Oryzias latipes: one gene and its partner. The protein of the gene in region 1 purifies or fractionates together with the protein of each later gene. This does not show direct contact. Links are inferred from orthologs where the notes say so. Each region holds a gene or a part of one and is shown on either strand. Other genes may lie near its edges. The genes, in order: slc30a1 and xxylt1.

Region 1 (12,846 bases):
CAAGAGCAGACAGAGTTGTGGGGATAATCTGACTTGTTATGCTGGCTGCCCCACTGAGAGGCTAGACCACTGTCCCAGACGCTGCATCCATCTCCAGTACGGATCACACGTTCACAAAAACCAGCTGTCGTGGTTAGGATTTGCTCCAGTCACGCTTCAATTTCACGGGCTGGAAATTACCAACATGCTACTTCCCACCTGTCAATCTGTCACAGCACCAGAAAAGGGATGAAAAGGTGCACAATGCTAGAGATGATCCAAAGCCGTTTGAATGTTTTCGCTCTGTGTTTCAGTCTGAAAAATACAATGTGACGCCAGCATTTTTTTCCTTAAACCGTCGTGCCAGAAGGCATCCTGCTGCAGTGAAGCAATGAAGTGAATTCAGAGCCATGGCAGATGTAGGAGCACTGTGAGAGGTCACTGTCTTTCACTGCCCTGCAGGTCAAATCAAGGGACCGATGACTGTAGGATCTGCTTCCCATCCATCTTAGAATGCATGCTTAGAAAATGCTGTTGGATGAGCCAGTGACCTTTAAGTACATTTACAAGCTACCGACAGGGTTAAATTTATTAAATTCAATCGAAGGATTGTTCTCATGTGACTAGTTATTTTAAATGCAAAAGAAAAAAGTGCACTTGGCTTTATTTGAAAAATCAATTTATATGTGGATAATACGAAAAAAGTGTTTTGTAGCAATATTGTTTCCCAAATTGTTCCCCACGTTCCCCAAATAAACGTTTTATTTGTATCTAGTATGTTCAATTATATGTCAACAAATCCGTAAATCTACTGCTTGTTTTTGGTGCCCTCTAGTGGACAGGGAATAAACATGCTTCTTCCCGCTCTAATCTCGCGGGTTTTCAGCTCTTAGCAACGTGAACAAATGCGTCCTTGTTTGACCAATCAGAGACCGTCGTGCCCGTGGGAACGAGCCAATTAGAGGTAAGAATTCTGGCACCGATTTAAACGGAGAAGCAGCACTTCCTGTGTTTTCAACTGATGCCAAAGAACACGAGTGTTTTGAGGAGATCGGCTTTGGACTTCTTTATTATCTGGATGAGCAAAAAACATAATTTAAGTAACTACTTGAATTAGATGTTCAACTTTTCTAAGGCCTATCTTTACATTTGACGCTAACGTGAAGTTTGGAAACTTTTAACGTTGGTTTCGGTTGACGAAGGCAAGATGCCGTCCTGTGTTGATGACTACGAAGTGCTGTACACGATAGGCTCGGGCTCCTATGGAAGATGCCAGAAAATAAAACGAAAGAGTGACGGGAAAGTGAGTATTTATGGCACAAGACACGCATACAGTATTTTCTTAAATAAAGATACATAAATACACGGTGTGAATGTTATCTAATTGATAAGTCATGAAAAAAAAAACAATGACTTGCTTCTCTGTAAATCAATAACGACACAAATGTACTTTAATATTTGGGAAATTACAGTTTTTCTGACATTAATTTCACAAGAAAAAATCTTTAAACATAATTCAGTATCAAGGAAATGTAGCATTTAAATGTTTTTTGTCATTTATCAGTAAAACATAATATTTTTTACTCAAACACTTGAACTTTAAGTTTGAAAAAAGGACTAAGATGAACATGTTCTTGATGGTTAAAGCATCTCTGCTCTCTAGATTCTTGTGTGGAAGGAGCTCGATTATGGCACCATGGCTGAGTGTGAGAAACAGATGCTGGTCTCAGAGGTCAACCTCTTGAGGGAACTCAAGCACCCAAACATTGTGAGGTACTACGACCGCATTATAGACCGCCGTAATACCATGCTGTACATCATCATGGAGTACTGTGAAGGTGGCGATCTGTCTTGTCTCATCAGCAAGTGTATCAAAGAGAGGTAAATAGAGCAAATGGGAAGAAAGAAAAAGCAGTCATCCTCTTTCTATCTGCATCATCATGTGTTGTTTTTAAATGGCAGGAAGTACTTGGAGGAGCAGTTTATCCTGCGAGTCATGGTGCAGCTTTCTCTGGCACTAAAGGAGTGTCACCGGCGGCGCGACGGCAGAGCCACCGTCCTTCATCGGGATCTAAAACCAGCCAACATCTTCCTCGATGCAAACCAGAACGTAAAACTCGGCGACTTCGGTTTAGCTCGGATTCTGAACCACGACACCAGCTTTGCAAAGACATTTGTTGGCACACCATACTACATGTCTCCAGTAAGTTATTTAACATTTTTGGCTTTTTTTAAATTATTTTTTCTCTAAAAAAAATCTCTAAAGGACATTTACAAGGTAAAAAAAATATTGTACTTGTTATTGATTAGTTTTTTACACTTTCTATTCATTCAGGAACAAATAAATAGGATGTCATACAATGAAAAGTCAGATATTTGGTCATTGGGATGTTTGCTGTATGAACTCTGCGCATTATCGTAAGTTTTTTTTTTTAAGCTTTTCCATCCGCTCCCTCGGCTGTTTGATCTAATGAATTCATGTTTGGATTTTTTCCTCTTTGAGGCCTCCATTCACTGCTTACAACCAGAAGGAGTTAGCAGAGAAGATCAGGGAAGGAAAGTTTAGAAGAATTCCTTTCCGTTATTCCGAGGAACTGAACTCTCTTATCAGCAGAATGCTCAACTTGAAGGTCTGAAATAAAGGATTGATTGTTTTCATCCTGCAATAGACGATCTGCTGAGCACCAGTCTGCTTTTTGACAGGATTACCTGAGGCCGTCTGTGGAGTCTATTCTTCAGAGCAGTCTGCTGAGTGTCGTGGTCGAGGATGAGCAGAGAAAGTCAGAAGTTCGACCCCGAAGGAAGTCGGCAGACTCCAGCAGCCCCCCGCAGAGGCTGAGTGAAGCGCCCCACGTCTCAGCGGTGGAGCTCAGGCGGAGGGAACAGGCTCTGCGGGACAGGGAGAAAGCACTGAAGGAGCGCGAGGAGAGGCTGGAGAGTAAGGCTTTAAGTTATTTCTGAGGCTAAATCAAGGGGAGAATATAGTTCTTTGGTTATTCTGAGTGCAGCGGCCTCCATTCAATGAGAAACCAGTCCTTTGGATTTGACTTATCAGAGTCTGAGATACTTTTCTGAAATTGTGAAACAACATTTGAGGCCTTGAACTGTTCCGCTGCCAAATTGCACAAGAACTAGAAAACATTTCTCTGTTCCCACGCATGGGTTCATCCCAAAGAAAGGGGTTTGGGGTGTCTTGCTCTCTTAATAATTATAAGCAGCCCTTTTCGAAGCAATCTTTGATTAATACATTTATTCACAAATGCTTCAATCTGGTAGATTTTATATTTGCTGTACTTGTTTCTGATGTTCCTTATAAAACGCTTGAGGAGTCGGAACGTGATTATCCATCCTCTCAACCAAAGTGTTGCCATCACATCTGTCCACACACAAAAGTTTGAAATGCAAGGTGTTTTTTTCTAAACTTTGTTTTCAACAATAATCTCTCTTTTTGTACAAATAAATTGTGTTTTCTGTTGTCAGGAAGGGAGCAACAGCTGTGTGTTCGTGAACAGCTCACAAACGAAAGGCTTGCAAGGTAGTCTCTCTTTTTGTCTGTTGCATAATGTAACAACTGCTGGTTTTTGAATTATCGTGTAAAATCCTTGAGTCAATTCTTACTTTTTATGTTCTGTTTTAGAGCAGAGAGTTTACTGAGAAATTACAAGCTGCAGCAGCAGAAGGACCTGATCTTTCTCGAAGACATAGGTAGGGGAATCCAACAAAGACCTCTGGACTTACTGAACTTAGATACAGCTGGGCTATGAATTTATGAATGAATGAAATATTTATTGTGTTTATATCAAGTAAATAAAGTATCTTTTTTTTGTAATCTAACAATGAACTTTTATTCAATAAACAAGTTTTAAAGCCATTCTCAGCTCAAACCAAATTCTTGACAAAAGAAATCTGCCTGATTATTAAAAAGCGCTTTCAAGTCGTGTTAATCAGATCCCTGCTGTTTGATTTTAGATGCGGAGATTTTGTCTCCTGGGAAGAAGAAGGTCCACTTTGCTGGTGAAAACATAGAGAATGAGCAGCCAGAGGGTCGCCAGAGTGCAACGTCTCAGGACTTGATGAAATTGAGACTGCAGGCTGCAAAGCTACGCGCCCAAAAACTCAGCGAGATGGAGCAAATGTGCCAATTCAAGAGCAGGCAGATGCTCGGCATACGCTGAGCGCATCCTGATGTTCTTCATGACTGAATTACAACTGGATTTTATGTTTTTATTTAATAATTGTTTGGCATTTTAGTGAAGCTAATTTATCTTGTGTATTTCAAGTTTTGTTGTTGCTCTCTTTGTTGTCCAACTATATTTTAAATGATTTATAGATTGTGTAAATGTCAATGGCAGCTGTTGAAAGTGTTAAAATAGTGTGCACATTATTGCTGTTTTAACAACCCTTTCATTAAAAAAAAAGATTTTATGAACCACTGTTGAAAATTAATAAACAAAAATGTCACAAATGGGTTTTTTATTTATTATGAACAGACGAATTCAAAGAGTAAATAAATGATTTTAAATGTTGCTTTGAAGCAATCAACATAAACGAGTTAAAAGAGAAACAGTAAATCTCATAGTCCAATGACAATTTAACGTCTGCTCTCCACGAGAGGTCATCAGTTTCTAATAAAAACAAATGTGAGTCCATCCAAATGAAGGAGTAAGCCAGGGTAGTTGTAGTGAAGCGTGCCTGACCAAAAAAAAAAAAAAAGGAAATGAGTTGTCGCGGGATTTCAGTTGTGGACAGCGTGCGTAGCAACCCTGGTTGTCCTGCTAAGTCACGCCTCCTACTTGCGTGATTGGTGAAATAGACCAATCACATGGGTTCTAGTTTTCCACTCACCAATGGGAACGGTGATGGGCGGGTCTTGCCCTTCGTGTTCCGTGTGAAAACTTTGCCCGGCTCGGGTGCAAAGTTTCAACCGTCTGCAAACTGGAAATCGTCGGCAGATGAGTCTGGAATATCCTGGAAAAGAACACGGTGTATTCACACGGTTACCAGGTTTAGGGCTTTGTGGAAAAATGTTTGCGGTGTTCGTTGGGTGTAGATGAGTGATGGTGGCGGGTGGTAGATAAAAACAGACCGGGAAGACGCAGTAGCTCGGATTTTATTGTCTGTTTGGAGCAGTTAGCTTAAACGTAGGTTAGGGAGCTAGCTTACCGTCGTCCCGGTGTCTGTCGTACATCTTAGACATTTTCTAGACTAAAACTTGAATTAAAAATACTAGTAAATTTATAAAATGGCTTGCGAACCCAACCGAGCGCGCCTGCTCTGTATGCTTTCACTGACTTTTGGCTTCTTCCTGGTGGAGGTGGTGGTCAGTCGCATCACTTCGTCTCTGTCGATGCTGTCGGACTCCTTTCACATGTTGTCCGACGTGATCGCGCTGATCGTGGCTTTGGTGGCCGTGCGCTTCGCCGAGAAGACTCAGGCCACCAACAAGAACACCTTCGGCTGGATCCGGGCGGAGGTGATGGGGGCTCTGGTCAACGCCGTCTTCCTCACGGCGCTGTGCTTCACCATCGTGCTGGAGGCGGTGGAGCGTTTCACCGAACCCCATGAGATCGACAGCCCGATGGTGGTCGCCGGGGTCGGCGCGGCGGGGCTACTGATCAACCTGCTGGGACTCTGCTTGTTTCATGGGCACGCCGGGGGAGGCCACGGCCACTCGCACGGGGGACACTCTCACGGGGGTAAGGGCAAAAAGGGGAAACATGGCAAGTCCCAGAAGGCCGGGAACGGATCTGCTGGAGAAGAGACCAACTACCTGGTGGGGAATCACACCAGCAACACCAAACCAAGCATGGGTATGTATGGAAACGTGCATTATATTTGACATGGTGGCGTTAACTGAGCCTAATCTTACTGTAAACAGCTCAGATTCCACCTTAAATCATCAGCTTTTCAAACAACTGCCTGACTAATCTGTATTGTGTTCTTGTCAGCTTCAGTCTTGACATTTATTTGTTTTCAAATGCATATAATTTGTTGAGTCACTACATCCCTGAAAAGTGTTGCGACACAAGCAAGACGTTTCTTGCTTTGTGAGAAGTACTCCTTTACCAAAGCTATCAAAACAACCTGGGATTTGTAGCCTTTATTTTGTGTTCAAAAAAGACCCCCTTCAGTGATGCTGATGACAGCCTCGCCTTCATGTGTTTCTATGAACACATCTTTTCTGTGCATAAGGATTTCAAAATAAGATTATCTCCTCCCTTCTTCATTCAAAGAAGGGTTAAAATCAAGTAAAGAACACCCTCCTCTTTTGTTAAGCCCTGCCAGTTTCAATAAATGAACCTTCATTTCTTCCACCCCTGTACACCGATTGCTATTAGTGGGTCATACATCAGAGACTCTGGGACTCGACAGCCCCGGACACATCATTAGTCCCTGATGAACGACCTGGAGGTGCCCTGAGAGAAACGGCTTCCTAAGCTCTGCCTTTTTGTTACTAAATCTGAATTAGGAAGACTCAGATGCCACATGCGAAGTTTGCTTTCTGTGTTTCACTGGTTTGCGCATGGCCCCGAGCTCTTGTGCTAAAGAATCAGTCACAAGGTTGAGGAGCCCTCTGCAGAAAAGCTGCTTTTGTTCAAAAGGGAAAACATGTTGGTTGATGTGATTGAACATATCACAGTGGACTAACGCAGATGTTGCATAGAACAACAATCTTCTTTAAACTCGCTGCTGGTATCTTGAGGTCAAAGTCTATGTGATTATGTAGTGTGACACTACAGAAGTCTAAACCTTCTTCTACGGTTGTTTTCTGCAGAGGTCAGCTGTAAAGACAGCACAGAGGTGCAGATGAACGGCAACACCCACTTCGAGGAGATGGAATCCGAGGCCGATGCGTCGTCGCAGCTCAACATGCGCGGCGTCTTCCTGCACGTCCTGGGGGACGCCCTGGGCTCCGTCATCGTGGTGGTGAACTCTGTCATCTTCACTTTCGTGTGGAAGCCCTGCGAAGGTCCAAGCTGTACGAACCCGTGCATCAACAGCCACAAGACAGACCACCGCCACATCAACCACACTCTAGTGGATCTGCAGGACACGGACACAAAAGCCGGGCCCTGTTGGGTGCTCTACCTGGATCCCACGCTGTGCATCATCATGGTGGGCATATTGCTCTACACCACCTACCCTCTGCTCAAAGAGTCCGCTCTCATCCTGCTGCAGACCGTCCCCAAGCAGATCAACATGCACCGCCTCAACGAGCGCCTGCTCAGCCTGGACGGCGTCCTGGCCATCCACGACCTGCACATCTGGCAGCTGGCAGGAAGCAGAATCATTGCCACGGCGCACATCAAATGCCACGACCCCACGTCCTACATGGATGTGGCCAAACGCATCAAGGACTTCTTCCACGACGAGGGCATCCACGCCACCACCATCCAGCCTGAGTTCGTCACCTTTAACTCCGAAACTCAAGGCTCCCAGTGCGAGCTTTCCTGCCGGACTCAGTGCGCTCCTAAGCTGTGCTGCGGACAGAAGTCTGCCAGTGACTCTAAAGCAGCTGCTGCCTCTGGCCTAGAGGTGATCAGCGAGGCTTCGGAGCAGGTTCCCAGCATTCAGGGGGGCCCTCGGACTGAGGCGGAGGTTGCTGTCACCAGAGAGGTGGAGTCCTCTGTGTGAGTCCGGGATTTCACATAAAGAGAGGCAGCAGGAAAACTACCACTTTGTGCTTAAGCATTACTCTCATTTTTAGAGGGTTTAATCACCCTTTTTCCCTTAAAATGACTTTTACTTTTTTATGACTTTTTTTTTTTTAAATGGTTGCTCCGACTTCACCAACATTCATCCATATGAACCTTAGTTTCTTTCAATTTTTCCTTCTTTTGATGCGTTTCCTGCCCAGAATGCCCTCTGCCTCCCCACCTTCCCTTGTCGTGACAGTATGGTTGTTCTGCATGTTCGTGGTCCTCACATCTCCAGCGGGGCCTGCATGAGTGTTCCTCTGTGACATGTCAAACCTAAAAGGTGTTTTCTGTGCCAAAGCTTCTCACTGCAGGACTGAGGAATCCTTCTTTCTATAAATGGACCATCGGAGCGCACATCAACAAGTTTTGTAGTCTTGCCTATGGACCTCTTTTCAAACTGTTTATGCTGTGAGCGAATCTGACTTTCAATATCCTCTTGCGTAATAAATTAAGTTTTTAAGTTATTAGATATGATCTATAGATGCTGTTTGAATATTTTAGTTAGGATACACAGACATTGATTTTGTTTTTCTATCTTTGCCCTTTCTCAGACGTGATGCTTTTATAATAATCTGTGTTTTCACCCCATTCTCTGAATCGGCCTTCAGCTGGAGACGAAAGCCGCGTCGACCGGGCTTGCCTTTCAAACAGGATGTTGTGGAATAGCACTAGGCGCAGCAGAAACGCAGTGGACGTCTTAGCAGCACGGTCTGCTACTCGGCCATGCATTCGTACATCCGAAGCCTTGCAGGCCAGAGGGTCAGGTGTGTTGTACAGAGAAGAGCACTATTTTTTTTTTTTTTTGAGCGATACACTATTTTTCTGTCTCAATCTTTTCTTTGAAAATGTTGAAGTCTTCATGAATGTGTTCTGCACCTTGTCACAATCCACACTGAGGAAATGTTCCTACAACGATCTGTTGTTTGCATGAACAAGCTGAGACCTTTGACGACGCTCCTCCCAGAGCTTGACTTGCTGCTTACCAGCTCCTGCTGGTATCCTCCAGTATATAACTCACGTGTGCGTCTGGATGGGTTCGTCTCATGGCGTTTGGACAACTCCAGGCTATTTGCAGAAATCTAGTGGCTCAGGTGGCCTTTCAAAAGCGCGACTTATTCCCGTCAGCACAGAGATCGTCTAAGGACGATACGTCTCCACTTAATGTTTGATGTGTATGCAATATTAAGTGTGTGCTGGAAAATGTATTCCACATTTCAAATGTTTGGTCACTTTTCTTGTCATTTATGACTTGGGCTTTGTGTGCAAATGGAAAAGCGTTTTTATTTTATTTTGGAAATGACATGTCAGCTGATGTGTTTTTGATATAAATGCATATATATATATATAAATATATACAGTATATGTCCCATATGTCTTTGTGAAATAAAATGACTGTTTGGTACAGTTTAATAGAAAATGTGCTTTGCTTTTGCTTTATTTAAATCATAACAATTTTATTTGATCATTAAAATGCAAGAACACTTGGATCCGTTTTTAAAAAATCAACGCAAAATAATTGAAGATTTAAGTTTTCATGAAAACGTTCAAAGAAAAAAAAATAGTGCAAAATTCAGCTAACAGTTGCAAAAAGCTGAACCTAAACCCCTAAAAGCGATAAATGAAGTGAAGCTTGAACGGCTGATATTTCTCCAAGGCTAAGAAAACGCCGGAGCAGCAACAAAACCTCCAATCTGAACAGCGATAACGATTGGAGGTAATCCAGAATCTGAAGTGTTGCATAAGTCGACGATGACAGTTCCATGGCTGTCCTCTGTGGCGTGATTAGAAGGGAGCAGAGTTGGAAAAGCTGCTGATGGTCGGTGTGAAGCCGGTGGAGTTGCCACCAACTGCAGGGGGCTTATGCAAGAGTCCCAGGGCATTGCTGGAGTAACAAGTGCAATGCCCTACCCAGCATTCCTCAGGGCTGCAGGATATGGCTGAAGGAACACAGGCTGACTAAAGTTTTTTTTTTCTTTTTCCCAGAATATTTGTTGTACTTGTTTTAAACTTAAATTAAATTTATATTATTAAAATCCAAATGTTTAATTTATTTAATACAACAAAGTGTTGCCATTTTTTTCTTTAAAGTTACAAAAACTGCAGGGCCTGAACATGACAAGGTAAAAAATGGTCCCTAAAATTTATCATTTTTTGTGACAAGTTACTGTTTTAAAGGGACAGTTTAGTATGTTTGGCAACAAATTGGCATTTTGTGTGCCAAAAAAAATTGATTTTGTGCAGACAAATTAGTATTTTGTGCGCACAAACTATGTATTTTTTGGACCCAAATTTGGTATTTTGTGAGCCAAAATAAGCATTTTGTGCACACAAAAATTGAAATCTGTGAGCACAAATTTGCATTTTGTGGCCACAAATTGACAGTAGAAATTTCCAAAACCAAAATGGTAATTTGTGTGCACAAAATACCCATCTGTGGTCACAAATCATTGAATTGAGGGGAAAATGTCTAAGGACATGTCCAGGGCTCTGTAAAAGCTGTCAAGTGTTGCTTGACGGTTCAGCGCACTGTCTAGTGGGTCTATGACCCAACTCTCAACGTTAAAGTGCCTAGGATAGCACAAGGGTTACGGAAGAAATTGATGCCTTCATCATTTGTCCGCGTGGGCGTGCAACAGCATTTGGCCATCTGTCTCCAGCTTTATCCAGGGTCTTTTTTAAACACTGGTTGTTGGGGGGGGACAACGGTGGAAACGAGGTCGTGACCCCACTGCCAGATGCTGGTACCTCTTTTCAACCTGGGTAAGCTGGAAAAGAGAAAAGGTAAATGAAAAAACAGACACGTGACTCGAAGCAGCTAAACTAAAGGAGAATAGAGCTCATTTGTGCTGCTGCATCCAACTGTGAACAAATATGGAACTCGAGAAAAAGTAAACATTTGCTCTTGTGGTAGAAGTAAAATGTAGTCATCCCAAAAGTGACTTGAATAGGATTTAAAAGAGCAACAAAAGTACCAAAGTACTAACAGGTTGGGCTCGTTCAGTTTAGAGTCTACACCTTTTTTGGAGATGATAAAATTAGGTTTTCAATTGTCGAAATAAAAATAAACGTTCCCTTGTTTGAAGTTTTTCTGCAAATATTTAAGATGCTAGAAGCACATAGGGTTGGGCGATGTCCCCTAATTTGGCCGTTGACGATGTTTGCTGTCAACCATCGGGATGGACGATGACATCGTCGGGGGGGGGGGGGTGTTACATTTTTCGTTCTTGTATAACTGCTATTCGTTATTTTGCTTTTTTCATTTTATCTCCCAACTAATGGTTAATCCGCGATGATCCAGTTTAAATTAGGGAAGTGACTTTAACAGAAAAAGTAACAAGCAAGATAGAAAAGAAGTGTAGTCGCTCCCGCACTTAATTAGTGAAGTGGACCGGCGGAGCGCGGACTTAAAGCTTTGTGTTTGATGGGAAGGGGGGGGTACATGAGCGGTATGTGTGGGAGATTTAAGACTGCGATCCGTCCCGCAGCTCTAGGGGTACAAGCAACCGAACTCAGAACCGGGTCTAAACGTGTGTCTGAGCACAGCTCGGATCGTCAGCACACACAGCGGTTTGAGCATCAAAGCAGAAATGTCGCTCAGTCCTTAGAAAACATTCAAACAATCACGTGGATTTGTGTTTCCAGTCGTGTCCCGACTAAATAAAGGCTGATGTTATTCTTACACGTTTACGTGCAGCGCCACCCAAAGCTAATGTTGTTAGCCCGTGTTAACATACTGCTAATCCTGGCTCCGTTCAGAAAAAGCACTGACCACACGGATTAAAATTCAAATGATGAGCGAACAGGTGTTTGATAATAACCGTAACATTATTAAAAGCACGTTTAGAAGATCATCTCGTATTTTACCGAGCTGACATGTCAATATATATAGCCGCTCGGTGCTGTTATCGTTTTGTATTGAATTGTTACATTCAATAAAGTTTGGAAAAAAAGCCGCTCGGCGGAAGTTGTATCCCCTTCCGGTTTTCAAACTGCGCATTTGCGAATACTGCGCATAAGCGAATGATTTATTCCGACCGAAATTGTGACCTTAGTGAACGTTTTTATATTCTGAAAACATTTTTTCTGGGCCCATGTACACAGTTGGATTCTAATCCGACCATTGATCCCATCAAGATATTTTGTACATGTAACCGCGGCTTATGGTGTCGACGCGCAACGTGGCGGGGGCGTGGCATCACGATGGTGGTCTCTCCATCGGGATGTCAGTCACCCATCACGATGGACGATGATATCGTCCATCGGCACAACCCTAGAAGCACATGTTGGCTTATATCCAAGATGTTATTAAAAAAAACGTATTATCTTTTATCAGAAGAAATTTTATTGTGTGTTGGTGGAATAAATGGAGCAAAAGTTTTGAACAAAGCAGTAACTAGACACATACATACAGCCCCATGTAACTGAGTAAAAGTTCTAGTCTGTTGTTAACAGACTTTGGAGAGAAAGCAGAAAAACGTATCTGAAGAGTTTACCAACAATAACTACAGTAAGTGTAACTGAGTAAATGGAATGGGATACTTCAACTGAACTTCTACCTAAAAAGTCCCTGTTATCTGGCGTCGCGTGGACACCAGTCTTGTCTAGTTTATTGTGCTGCACATGTATAGAAATTGTGAAATGCTGCTTTATAGATAATTAGAAACACATTTTTAAAGTCATTTATGGAAAAAAAAAGCACAACATTTCTATTACAATCATATGACAGCATGTACAGATATAAAAAAGTTGAGACGTTAAACATTTAACATAAATAATTTTTGAAAATGTATATGTCTTAACAAAAAGGCACGAAGTAACTCACAAATTAGAAAATAAACAGATTTTTAGGTGTGCAAAAGAACTGTTTAGGTTTAAAAGCTTTTGTTTTGAAAAGTTTTTAAATCAATCAACGCTTGTAAATCACTGGTGTTAAGACAAAAACGATTTAAATATAAAGCACGGATGGTAGCAGCTATTTAGTAATACAGAGCCATGCTGTAATCCATTTATTTGTATTGATCCAACAGAAAAACAACTTCCCTGAGTAAATTACCTGAGTTTCCAGTCATAATGGGGTGTAAAGCTTCAAAAACAGTAATGATTGTTCATTAGGGAAACCATTAGAACGTTATTTGTTCATCATGTGTTCTCTGTGAAGGAAGGTGTT
Region 2 (12,387 bases), on another chromosome or scaffold:
CAAAAGACTGTATGTGGCGAGAAAAAAAGCTTAAAATCTTCAAATCTGCCATTTACCGGTAATTATTTATCCTTTAAAGCGTCTAATAATGTAGAGATGCAGAGATTATGTTTAAAGTACAGTTAACCAGTTGCACACGGTTTTTATCCCCAGAAGGTCTATTCATGAAAACCATTTTATTTTTATTGATGCAACAGTGTCCAAAGGGGAAAAATTTATGCTCTGAAGCTAACAGTCGTTACTAAGTAAACAATAAAAGCTAATAAATCAACTCATCTTAGCTGATTTGAAGACAGTTGTGTTCATCTGTGTGCGTGTTTTCATGTATGCACACAAACAATTTCACGATCTTTGTTCATTTTCTGATTATTTTCCATCTTTTTTGAAACAAGTAAAACAAACAAGCTTGCTCCGTTTAGACTCTCTCCCTCTGTTTTCCACTGAAGCACTGCATCAAAACAGGACGTCTGTTTGTGCGGACGTGTTTAAACAGACGGCGAAGCATGAGCAGGTGGAATATTTCATGGAGCAGCTACTGAACGACATAAACAGAGGCACTTTTCCAATGGGCCCATTTAGAAATATAGGTTAGTTGAAGCGTCAAGTGGAGTGCTGTACTGCCTTTAGTCCATTTAGAGGTTTGTGACTCACTAGTCCAAAAAAAAAGCATCTGTGGAGAGATCCAAACCTTCGTTTCTACAAGGATTTTATCCAAATATTCTCAGTGCTTGACTTTGAAACTTAAGTTCCAAATATGAATGTCTTGCAGACACATCTCAATAACAGAACCAAACCTGGCTGCAGGTAAAAGGCTGATTATAGAAACCATGCTACTTTGAAGCTAGATGAAACACTGCACATTCATTACACACTGAACCTTTTTGTTCTTTTTTGCCTTAAAAATAATAACAGTCTACTTAAACTTAATATTTTTGTTTCAAAAGATATTGTTTTGTTTTTTAGATTATAATTTCGCCGTCAATCCCTCTAGTTTTGTATGTGATTTTTATTTTTATTTTGATCATGAAGCAATTCTTTCAAATTAAGATACCTGCTCGTCCTGTTGAAGGAAAAATAAGAAGTGTTGCCTCTAATGTCATGATTGAGAGGACTTGTTTAGTGCCTGAAGGTTCCTCACTTCTAAATGAGTTAATCCAATCCTCCCCTAGTGGGATTCCAGCTCTAAGTTTTTTGTTTGTAGAAATTGTGCCCCGGTCTTCATTCCAGGCTCCATCCATGGCCCCATTTCAACCCCAAACAAATGTCCGTGCCAGTGCTGTTACTGTATCAGCTCAGGGGTCTATTGAATCCCACGCTTTGTTGCTTTTGTGCCCAGACACATAATTCAAGGGAGACAACAGCAAAACAGGAGATCTGGCCTCCAAGCTTCTGGAAAAACTTTTACAATTTGGTGTCTGTCAGTTTTGAAAATATGATATTGCGTTCTTGTGTTCAAATTCCTCTGTGGAATTTTTGTTTATTTTAAAAGTATGTTTTTATTGTTGTTTTTTTTATTCCTAAAGGAAATTGAAATGTCTGAAAGGCAGCTGAAGGTTTACGTCACAGAAAAAAATGTCTTTCCACCAAAACAGCAGTTGGTGATCATACTTGCACAACTACAAGGAATGTTTGATTTGATTTGGAATAATGCAGAAAAAATGACAAAACGCAGCTATATCAAAGCTATTTCAGATATGAAGTCATACATTGATTAGAAAATCAAGAAAATAAACAAAAATAAAAGGAGATGATACCATCTTCTTAATGATTCAATGATTCAATGTACAAGGAGATGTTTGAGATGCTTAAGGCCTGTTCACACCGGGACGAATTTCGCCGGCGATTTTCGCCGACGTTTAACGCCTCGTGACTAAACAAAGGGCACCAATGTGAGTGTGAACCGACGCGAAAAAACGCCACGCGCCAAAGCGTCAAAAAAAAACAAACGCCTCGGGTTCGTTTTTTTTTTCTCGACGCGTCGCGTCGAAATCTATTCGACCAATGAGAATGGCGCTTTTGCACACGTGTCTGGAGCTTCTGAAGTTACAGTAAAACACAACTTGGGGGCGCTCAAACACAAAACTGCCTTGCTGAGCACATATACCAGCGAAAAAGACAGACGCCGAGTAGCGTCTACACTGCTGCGAAGAAATAATGACGGACATTCTTAAATATCCCTGAACCAAGCACCAGTTGGAGCTACTGATGCTTGAAATATTCATGTTTTCTTTGTATTATTCTGACAAGCGCGTAAATACTTGCTCTCTTCTTCTGAGTGAAAAGCGACTTTAAGAATCGTAAAGTTGCGCAGCGCCACCTTGTGTACAGGAGTATTTCTGTTTACATTAAGCGCCATCTAATGTCAGGGAATGAAATTGCATGTTCGCTCGGCTCATCGTCAGCGAAAATCGCCTGGGTGTGAACACAAAAGACATGGCGAATAACGCCTGGCGAATATTCGTCCCGGTGTGTACGGGCCTTTACTTTGCTGTTCGCTCTGAATGCCAAAAGGTTAAAGGTTAAATACAATTAAAAAAAGATAGGGTAGAATATATTGTTATTAATAGTGTAATTGCTCATAATCATAAATAGATAAATATTTGCAGGTTATTTTGGATCCATTAAACATATGGACTGCCAAATAGCTTTATTAGTTGTTTGATAGGGGAATGAGAAGAAGAGAATCTATACATCAGGGTGGCAGTGGATCCTTAAAAAGTCTTACATTTAATCTGATTAAAATAAGGCCTTAAGACCATTAACATATCTTAAATTCTGGTGAATAAGTCTTACATTTTTTCTCAACGCAATGTGACTTTTTGTCACTTAAAAAAAAGAGAAAAAAAAAATTTCCAGGATGCGCTCATAACCTGATCATAAAATTGTTTAACCTCATCTAAACTAATTAGCTCACGTTCATTGGCTTGGAAAAGTGGGAAAGTGCAAATTCACAAAGAAATGGCTAGAAAATAGGGATTACCGTAGTTGTGGTGGTTTAAACCTGTTCATGGAAAGCCTAATGAAGCAAACGGCGCGGTTTGCCAAAAAGCTTGGTACAGTAGGGATCATGGCCATCCAATCACGTGTAGAGGAAGAAATGGCAGACTCTAGCTGTTTGTTTCGTTTTCTTTGTACATATAGGATTAAATTGGAGTTTTAGTGTTCTTCTTAAATTGAATTTTTGTTAATCACTAGACACCCCGAATGGGAGCCGGTTTAGCTCGTGCTGGTTTGCAGCGCCTTCCGTCCGTGAAACCAGGGTTCAACTCCGGGCTGCTCCCTGTTCCCTTCTGTGCCGGTCCCAAGCCCGGTTGCTCTGAGAGGGTTTCGTCAGGAAGGGCATCTGGCGTAAAACATTGCCAAGTTTACCATGCGACTCGTTCGCTGTGGCGACCCCTGTTGGGAAAAGCCGAAAGAGAAACAACAACAACTAGACACCCCGAATAATCCCACCCCTCTCGCGTTTTTTTCAACACATTTATTTTCTGTGGGTTTTTTACACTGTTGACATAACCTGATTCTTATTAGATCAATTGCAGATTTAGTTATTGGTCTTGGTTCAGATCATTTTTTTTAAGTTAAGGTTTTTATTAAAATCTTTTAGTTACTTCCAGTTTCCTGTGTTGACTAGTACTTTCAGATGGGTTCTGGTTGTCTGAGTTCATTAAACTTTTTTTAAATTTGAAGCGAATGAACATTTCAGAACCACATCTTCAGCCAGCTCCAAATTAATGCGAGCTGTTTTGTCACCCATTAGCTAATGGCTGGTTGTCTTTGTGGAGTTTTCATTTTAAAGCCAGGGATTGGAGAGGCCCTGTGTGTGTCCCCGACTGGAGTGTTTTCCTGTCAGCTCTCACTCTGTTTTTGTGCGCATTGACACAGCGTAGTGCAAAAAACACTTCCTCCGACCAGCCTCATTCACTGCACTTCCTGCCAACCAGAGTTTCAATAATGGGAAATGAAATAAAATGAAAAGATGTGTGTCTCCCGCCTGCTGTTGCAACAGCGAGAGCAATACACATTTACAAGTACGCTGTAAACAGGTTTTTCATTTTATCCTTTTGAAATGAGCCATGTTCTGTGAGAGAAGGCTGGTACAGAAAGAAAACCATTCGGTCTTCATGCGGTGTCTTTTTGTTGTGAGGCACCTATACTGAACCATTTTGTTGGAGATTGTGAGGTAAAATGGTAAAGCAATCTTATTTTGAAAGGCTTTGATTAATTCTTTTTAAATTTATTTTGTATTTTGTTCATCGTATCCCTGGTCAGTGGTGATGCTCCTATAAAAGCAGGGAAAGGAAAGTCTTGATTTAGAAGAATAATCAACAGAATTCATGATTTATTTATTTGGAGTGTCTGCAGCAGCATCTTGTCTGAAGGCTTCTTTTTTCAGTGTTGGAATTTTGTTCTCTTGTTTGGTGAAAAGTAGAGGACATTTCATTCATGTTGACCAAAAAGAATAACAGGAGGGCAGCAGGAGGGTCCCACATAGTGTTCAGAGACGGCTACTCCGTGTCCTGAGACATTCGGACGAGAAGACGGCACAGAACATCCTTGTCATCCCCTAATGTTTTTAATTCTGTCATGACTTGGAGGCCCGTTCCATTCAAGAAAGAAAAAACTAGGAGCAGATGGAAGTTTTGGCAGCATGGTGGTAAGTGTTGTCTTGATCTTTGCTGCCTTTGCTGTCACATGATAGAAATTTTTGAAAGATTTTTTTTACTTAGTATTTTAGCTAAAACCTGACTATAACAAAAAGCCAATAAATAGGTTTATAAATAAATATATATGCTCATATATTTAATCAAATCAAATCAAACAAAAACATTATGGAGTTGCCTTGAGCTTTAACTGTCACATTTCCAGAATAGATTAACGACTCTTTGTCATAAATGTTTCCTAATAAAACCACATTCACCCATGATGTGTGTCAGGGCACGTAGACCGTGTCCTCCAGATGATGATAAATGCTCCACAGAGGCTTCAGGTCCCCTGCTAGCAGCTCTCCAGCTGGATAAAGCAGAGGGGACAGACTACAGCTGCTCAGTGTAGGTCAGTAAAAATATCAGATCTTGACTCTTGAGAATGTATTTCTAATGCACTTCATGAACTCCTCATGGAGGGCTACAGGGCCTCTTTACAAAGCATGTTTATTTTAAGAAAAGTTCCCACATGTAATATTCACTCCAAGAAAGTCAAGGGTGTTTTTTTTTTTTTTTTATCTAGTGGTGAAAATAAATGTCCTACTGCAGCCTGCAAAGCGGCCCATTAATATTTCACCTACAGCTCAGTCAGGGCTAAAAATAATTTCTTTGTGTGTATGTTTCCTTGTGTTCAAGCTGGAGTATATTATTGTTCATCCCTGTGTTTACACTGCAAAAACAGGCCCCCTAGAAATAAGTCAAAAAAATCTTAGAACTTGAACATATTTCTTTAAGTAAAGAAAAATCTGCCTATGGGGTGTGAGAAATACCAACAAATATTATGTGAAGAAGCAAAATTATAGTTGCTAAGACGTATTTGCTTAAACTAAGGTTATTTTACTATTGAAAAACGTTCGTAATAAGATTCTTTTATTTTGCAAGACAGAAAAAAAGACACATTTTCTTAAGATTAAAAAAAAATTGGTGAAGCACAGAAGTTCTCAATAGGAACACTTGAAAACTGACAGAAGAATACTTGACCAAGTTATGCATCTATTTCTGTTCCATTTGATTCTTAAAAAAAAAACAAAAAGTAGCTTGAAATCATGTTTTGAGGTTTTTTGATACGATAATGCTCAAATGTAATTTTTTTAAATTATAATATCAAAACAACATGTTTATAGTGGTATAGTAAACTCTTTATGACAAGCTGGTAAAGCACAGATCTGTCTTTGGTGTTGCACTTGTAAAGTTTGAATTAAAGAATGAGATTTTTTATTTTGTAACCTATTGTTATGCTGCACAGTCGTGTAGTGGTTGGTGTTTTTGCTTTACGGTGAGAAGGCCCTGGTTTGAATCCCAGCTTGGTCCTTTCTATTTGGAGTTTGCATGTTCTCCCTGTGCATGCATTGGTTTTCTCAGACCAGTCCGGCTTCCTCCCACAGTCCAAATACACGCCTCATGGGTTGATCGTAGGTTAATTGGTGTTTCCAAAAATACCCCTTAGTGTGAATGTGTGGTCGTGTGGCCTTTCGACAGACCAGTGACCTGATTGAGTGTGTGTTTATGGTTGTTTGACCCGCACATCGACTGGGAACATATCCAGAGTGTTCCTTGCCTTCGCCCAACAGAACTGGGACAGGTTCCAGCAACCCCACGACCCTGAAAGAGATTCAGCAGGTTCAGAGAATGGATCCAATACTTAACATGTATTATACCATGGTCTGGGTGAATACTCGATTCTGATCGGCTGCTGGGTATGCGTTAAAACCTGATAATCTCACGGTGAAAAAAGAAGTTCCGGTCGGCTAGTTTAAATGATTTGTATCACTGCGCCGGCTTCTGTAAAACAACCTTTTGCTTCATCATCATCTGGGCAAAAACAAGCGGTAAGCGATTAACTTTCCCTCTGAATTGATGATTTATTCAACCCATCGGGACGATCAGCATATATATATCGCCGAATCTTGACTGCAGCGGTGGTGCTGCGCCACGCGGACTATATGTTATATATATATGTACTATATGTTACGTGATGCGGCGCATCGGACGGTTCATGCTTTCACAGATCTTTCTTTTCATAAAGCTTGATGAACATGTTGCAGGGCCAAGTTGCTGGCAACTTGGTTGATAAGTGCCTTCAACATAACCAACCACACTGCCTCTCTTTCCTCAGACACACCTTCTGGCAGTACCGCAAGGAGAACCCCCAGACCAAAGTAGGAGAACCTCCTCCTGACGGACTCCCAGGTTTCAACAGTGGCGTGATGCTATTGGACCTGCAGGGAATGAGGGCCTCAGCTCTCTATAACCAGCTTCTAGAGCCAAGTAATGTTGCCAAACTGGCAGACAAGTATCGCTTTAGAGGTCACCTGGGTGACCAGGACTTCTTCACTATGATTGGCATGGAGCATCCTAACCTGTTTTATTCCTTACCCTGCGGCTGGAACCGGCAGCTGTGCACCTGGTGGAGGGACCACGGTTACGCAGACGTCTTTCAGTTGTACTATCGTTGCGAGGGACCTGTTTATATCTACCATGGAAACTGTAATTCCCCCATACCAGAAGACTGAACTACGTCACCGCCACTCACATGTTCTTTAGGATTCCTTCTTGTTGGGAGGCACAACTGGATTGGTTGACTTTCTTCAACGCTTTCCAAACTTGACCTGTGCCTGCCAAGGGGTTCATGACGGACTAACTAGTGAAGCTGTTAGCTAGGAGGGCAGAACCAAAGCACTCCAAATTAATGTACCGATGAGAAATGTTCTGGATTACAACATAAGAGCAAAGCACAAATGATAAAAAGGATTCTCATCTTTGTAGGCTTTGCCGTGTCATTCAAACCTGCATAATTTCATGCAAATTAATGTTTCTGTTTATACCTTAAGAAAAATAAATGTTTAATTTATATTCTATTGAAAACAAACTTTAAAATCTTAACAAATCAATAGAAAAAAGGTTTTTGGCATTATAGATAAAAACATTCTAATATTGATGAAAATGAACACAACGGTGGACTTTTCATCTTTCTGCAGCACTGTGGCAGCTTCTTCCATGAGCTGGTGGAAAAAGAGGTGAGTCAATGGAGCATTAATGATCATGTTTTGCGCTCAGCATTTGCATTTTACCGAGGCCAAACACAAACCTACATCAGTGGGCGGTCCAGACGCTGACCCACTTTGTCTTTACTGGCTCTGTGAAAACAGAACTGACATTTGGACTAAAAAAGAAAATGTGGCAACTACTGAAACAATTGTATAATTTCATGAAAATGAAAGTATAAGGAACATTTTTCAACACACAGAATTTGAAAATAAAAACAATGTGATAACTTATATTTTATTGTTTGTTTTTGTTTTTTTTGAATGAGGAGTCATGTTTGGAAAAAGTTATTTGGTCAGTTGACTGAGACTACAACCAGTCTGAATGATCCATTTGGTCTGCAAGTGAATGGTAAGTGTAGAAATCCTTGAGTTTCTGCTCAAAGATATTGGTAAGTACGGGTTTGTTAAAACTCTTTTTAGAACCTTCAAAAGATATTTTGAGATTCATATTTTCACATTATAGCCACACAAAAAAGCAAAAGTGAATCGGTTTTCTCAGAATTCAACATATTTGTGTCTTTGTCTCCTTCGCTGCTTTCTTTAAAAGATAAAGCTCCTATGAAACTGAAATGTAGCGACTCTTTAACTGTATCAAAGCAGCTCATTATGCTGAGTCAATAGAGAATGGGAAGTGGATATCTTGCTGGGATTTGTTTAGACGCCATATTGTCTGCCCGTTTCCCCCTTGGCTGTCCTTTGTGTGCAGGAACGCTGCATTCCAAAAGGAGGACCGTGTTGAAAGCACAAATTGTCAGATTGGTCTCATGAATCAAGTCGGACTTTAGACCCAACTGCTACATTTGTGCGATGCAAGCAAAAAAGAGACTGTCTATGAAGACTCTCATTCATCCAGGTTGATTCCATCATAGTAGTAGGTTTAGGGGCTGTCATCTGAAAAGTGACTAGTTTTTACTGAGTCATTTTTAATTCCTTTCCATCATTTTGACTTATAGGTTGGTGAAAGAGGCGCTACAAGGTAATGTAGTGGTAGTTGGAGCTTTCATTTCACAGTAAGAAGACCCTGGTTCAAATCCTGGCTGGGACCTTTCTGTGTGGAGTTTGCATCCGCTTTCTCCCCACATCCCAAAAACATGCTGCATGGGTTAACTGGCGACGCTAAATTGTGAGTGTGTGACCCTACCACCACTTGATGACCCAATCGTAGCTGGAATAGGATCCAGCATCTTCATGACCCCAAACGAGATTAAATTGGTTTGGAAGATGGATAAAGAGGTGAAAGGGTATCTGTGCAGCCGTGGTGTAGAGGTAGATCGGTTGACTTCTGATCAGCAAGATCACAGGTTCAGTTCTTGCCCTGCCCACTCATGCATCGGAGTGTCCTTGGGCAAGACGCAATGTGAACCCCACATTGGTACCAGTGTTTGGCAACGGAGCCGCCATCAGTGTGTGAATTTGTGTGTGTGTTTGGGGATGAATCTGACTGTCACTGTAAAGCGCTTCTGGTCTTCAAAGAAGGTAGTAAAGCACCAAATATTTACATTGTGGGATGCCTTTAACAATCTTTTTACCGGTAGTCTGTATTTTGGACTAGTCACATTAAAGCATAAGATTTTTTTCCTATTTAAACGTATTTTGGAATCTTATGCAGCAGTTTTGCAGCACCTCCTCCAGGTATGTAAAGCTTTAGTCACATGCACCATGTCTGGGTTGACCCGTATGGCTGCAGCAGGTTTTTGGGTTGTCCAGGCCCCGCAGAGGGGTTGTAGAGAGGAGCGGCTGTGCCTTTCAGTTCCCTTTTGGCATTTTCATATGCAACGTATGATTGTCCTGCCTGTGTTAAGTATATTGTGATATATTTGTAAGGATCATGTCATTTGCTCGCACTTAGGACGTACGGGTGATGCTGTTGGACGGTGCCCTTCATGTTGCAGTCTAGTCGTCAGTAAGGTTCTTTACTGATGGCGTGCAAATATGAGTACCTGTAGGACCCCATAGGATGCCCACACAAACCACATTCTGATTGTCTCATTTCCTCTTTTTTAACTGTCAGACTGTGTGCAAGGGGCGCACAATTTGATTTAAACAGCCCAAACGAACAGAATTTGGAGTGGAGTTAATAAAAAAGAAAAATGCGTACGACAAGTACGTGTCTCCCCTATTTCAACCTTTACTTACCCTTGTAAGTACCCTTGTTAAGTGTTCCCTATGACCTGTCGCCTGTAGAAAAGAATGTGCGTGAATAATCACGCTCTACGAGCTGGATATTTTTTGCAGACCACCCCTGTGTCTCTAAAAAGTTTGCCCATTTTTCACCCGTATTCACCTCTAAGGGCAGTTGTGTCTAACTAAGCCGTAAACTACTTGATCCCCAAAAAACACGCAGCAGAAGTTATGCACTGTTCTTCAGGTAATGCTTGCCACACCACAAAGTAACCTTACAGAGAAACCTCATCACCAAGTTTCCTTTCGTTGAATAAAGCCTGACGATCACACAACTATTAAGTTCCCCTGGGTTTAACAACGAAGACTTGTCCCCTCATTCCTTTATAAACGTTTTATTGTAACCATGTAGCAAAATGTAACCTTTAGGAAGAATTTTGAACCAAACGTTGAGCATATTTCTGGTATCTTTAAAATCAATTTTGTAAAAACTAATTACCGGTATGAGGATTGACTTTGCTGGTATCTGTGTGGTTTGGAAGCAGAGCTTTCTAACCCTCATGTCCACAGACAGACAAGGCTGTGATCCACTGCAGGGTTCAGAATAATCCTGTGAAGGGAACATCCTCATGTTCTCCATTATATAAGCACATGTCTGTGCGCTCATTTGTCTGCTTCCAGCTAGACATGACCCATTTCTGTCACTCCTATACTCCCAACACAAGTTTAAAAGCTTCACAGGAAAATAACCAGCCTTGACCTCTGGCTTTGAAACTAAAAAGCCTCTTTATCGAGTTTCCTATATGTATTCTTTTTCATTTATATTCCCTTTTTCCAGTGATTTTCACTTTGCTGAATCATATTCAATGCCCTTTTCATACCAAAATAGGCTGATGACTGTATAAGAACTAAGATAAAAAGAAGGTTATGTGTTTCTTGAGGGCTTTCAGCCTCAAGGTTTAAGATGTTTTGGAGAAATAGAAAGAGATGTAATGTAGTTTTAAAATTATGACAGTTGTTCAGCATTGGTGTGAATGAGGTGATGCAAAAAATAAGGTGCAGCATCAGAAATCTACTCTTTAAGCTTTTCCCTGTATAGCTTAAGCAGCAAACCTTTATTACATCTTATTTTATTCCCTGCAATTTATTACACCTCTTGTAATAAATCCTTCATCCTGCTTTCATCAGCCAGCACTAATTATTTCTACTTTGTTTCTGGGCAGAAATAACCTTTATGTGTTTTTCATGCACATATTTATACTAAAAACAGCTTAATCCCAAGGTTATTATCAGTAATTTGAAGTTATAGGTAATCTCTGAATGTATCTAGAACAAAGTAGCTGCATCTTCTTTTTTGCATGTTTGATTTGATGTTGCTAAATGATGCTAAAATGATCACTGAGGGCCGTCCAACCTGTTTGACAACAAATGGATCTGGAGCCAATAAACCTAAACATATACAAAGGATTTTCCATAGTGCATGTGAGTGTTCAACACTCTGTTCCACTCGGGGGAAAAAATGTAGGCCAATTTCTTCCCAAACAGATTGTCCGACGTGTCGCTTCCTCTGTCCCCCATTCTATCTGTCGGTCTCTCCACAGAAGCACTGCTTGTTTTGCTTTCACTTAGTGGCTGCAGAATGTGCTTATCTGCAACATCCTGCTGCAAATTCTCTTCTTTGTCACCGCAGCTCAGGCACTCGACACAAAGCCGAACAACCCAGCGTTCATTAATCATTGTTTGTCTTAACTGCAGCATTGCTGAATCACAAATTGAAAGCATCCTGCGTCAAACACCTGTCGTCTTTAAAGATCAGGTTCAGGTGATGAATAAAAGCTGTCTTGGAACAGCCTGAATTCAAGAGCAAATCTTTTGATTCAAATGGAAATCAGTTCTTTGTCATCCAACCGTTTGACCTCTGGGAGCATCAGACAGGTTTTATTGACTTTTTGTGCAGCGTTTTGCTATCGCACCTAATTAGAATCTGTGCTGTGAGTTAGTCAAAGCGTAGATGGAAATAAATTCATGACGTGTCCTTGCTCTGTGAGGATTTAAATAAGCAATAAATGGAAAATTCAATTATTTTAAATTATTCTTTTCCTTTCATTCTTATTTCTTTTGACTAATGTAATTGGGACGTGTTTTAAAAGTTTACATGAAAAGGGCTTCATAGATAAACTTGGTTTAATTGATAAATATTAATTACCAAATGTAGCTCAAACTACTGTGTTTTAAATCAAAAGCCTAAAATGACATGATTCATAATTAATTTAAAAAAAGTTTCTGTTGCCTTACATCTTTAACCCTTGTGCTATCTTTGATGACCCCACCCTTACATTGACGTGTTCTCCCCACCATGACAAAGGTGGATAAAGGTGGAAAGATTTCATGTCATCCATGGACACCAGTGAGGTTCACAAATCATTGAAGAAAAAAGGTTCAGTGCACTTTCTAGTGGGTCTAGATGACCCAACTCCCAATGTTAAAGTGCCTAGGATAGCACAAGGGTTACATAG

What was found.
Region 2: the proteins of slc30a1 (region 1) and xxylt1 purify together in Homo sapiens (co-immunoprecipitation; 3 studies listed by BioGRID and IntAct, with this or other methods). This does not show direct contact. The link is inferred for Oryzias latipes from reciprocal best matches to the Homo sapiens genes SLC30A1 and XXYLT1.

The regions. Positions count from the first base shown.
Region 1 is NC_019882.2:6,332,318-6,345,163, forward strand, and holds slc30a1 (zinc transporter 1), read left to right. Parts: upstream 1-4,865; 5' UTR 4,866-5,221; coding exon 5,222-5,789; intron 5,790-6,754; coding exon 6,755-7,614; 3' UTR 7,615-9,100; downstream 9,101-12,846. Other genes in the region: serine/threonine-protein kinase Nek2, read left to right, coding at 1,187-1,282, 1,643-1,860, 1,942-2,182, 2,315-2,397, 2,483-2,609, 2,683-2,917, 3,460-3,514, 3,617-3,684 and 1 more. UniProt on the Homo sapiens protein: Zinc ion:proton antiporter that could function at the plasma membrane mediating zinc efflux from cells against its electrochemical gradient protecting them from intracellular zinc accumulation and toxicity.
Region 2 is NC_019862.2:13,013,281-13,025,667, reverse strand, and holds the end of xxylt1 (xyloside xylosyltransferase 1), read left to right. Parts: intron 1-6,819; coding exon 6,820-7,216; 3' UTR 7,217-7,981; downstream 7,982-12,387. UniProt on the Homo sapiens protein: Alpha-1,3-xylosyltransferase, which elongates the O-linked xylose-glucose disaccharide attached to EGF-like repeats in the extracellular domain of target proteins by catalyzing the addition of the second xylose.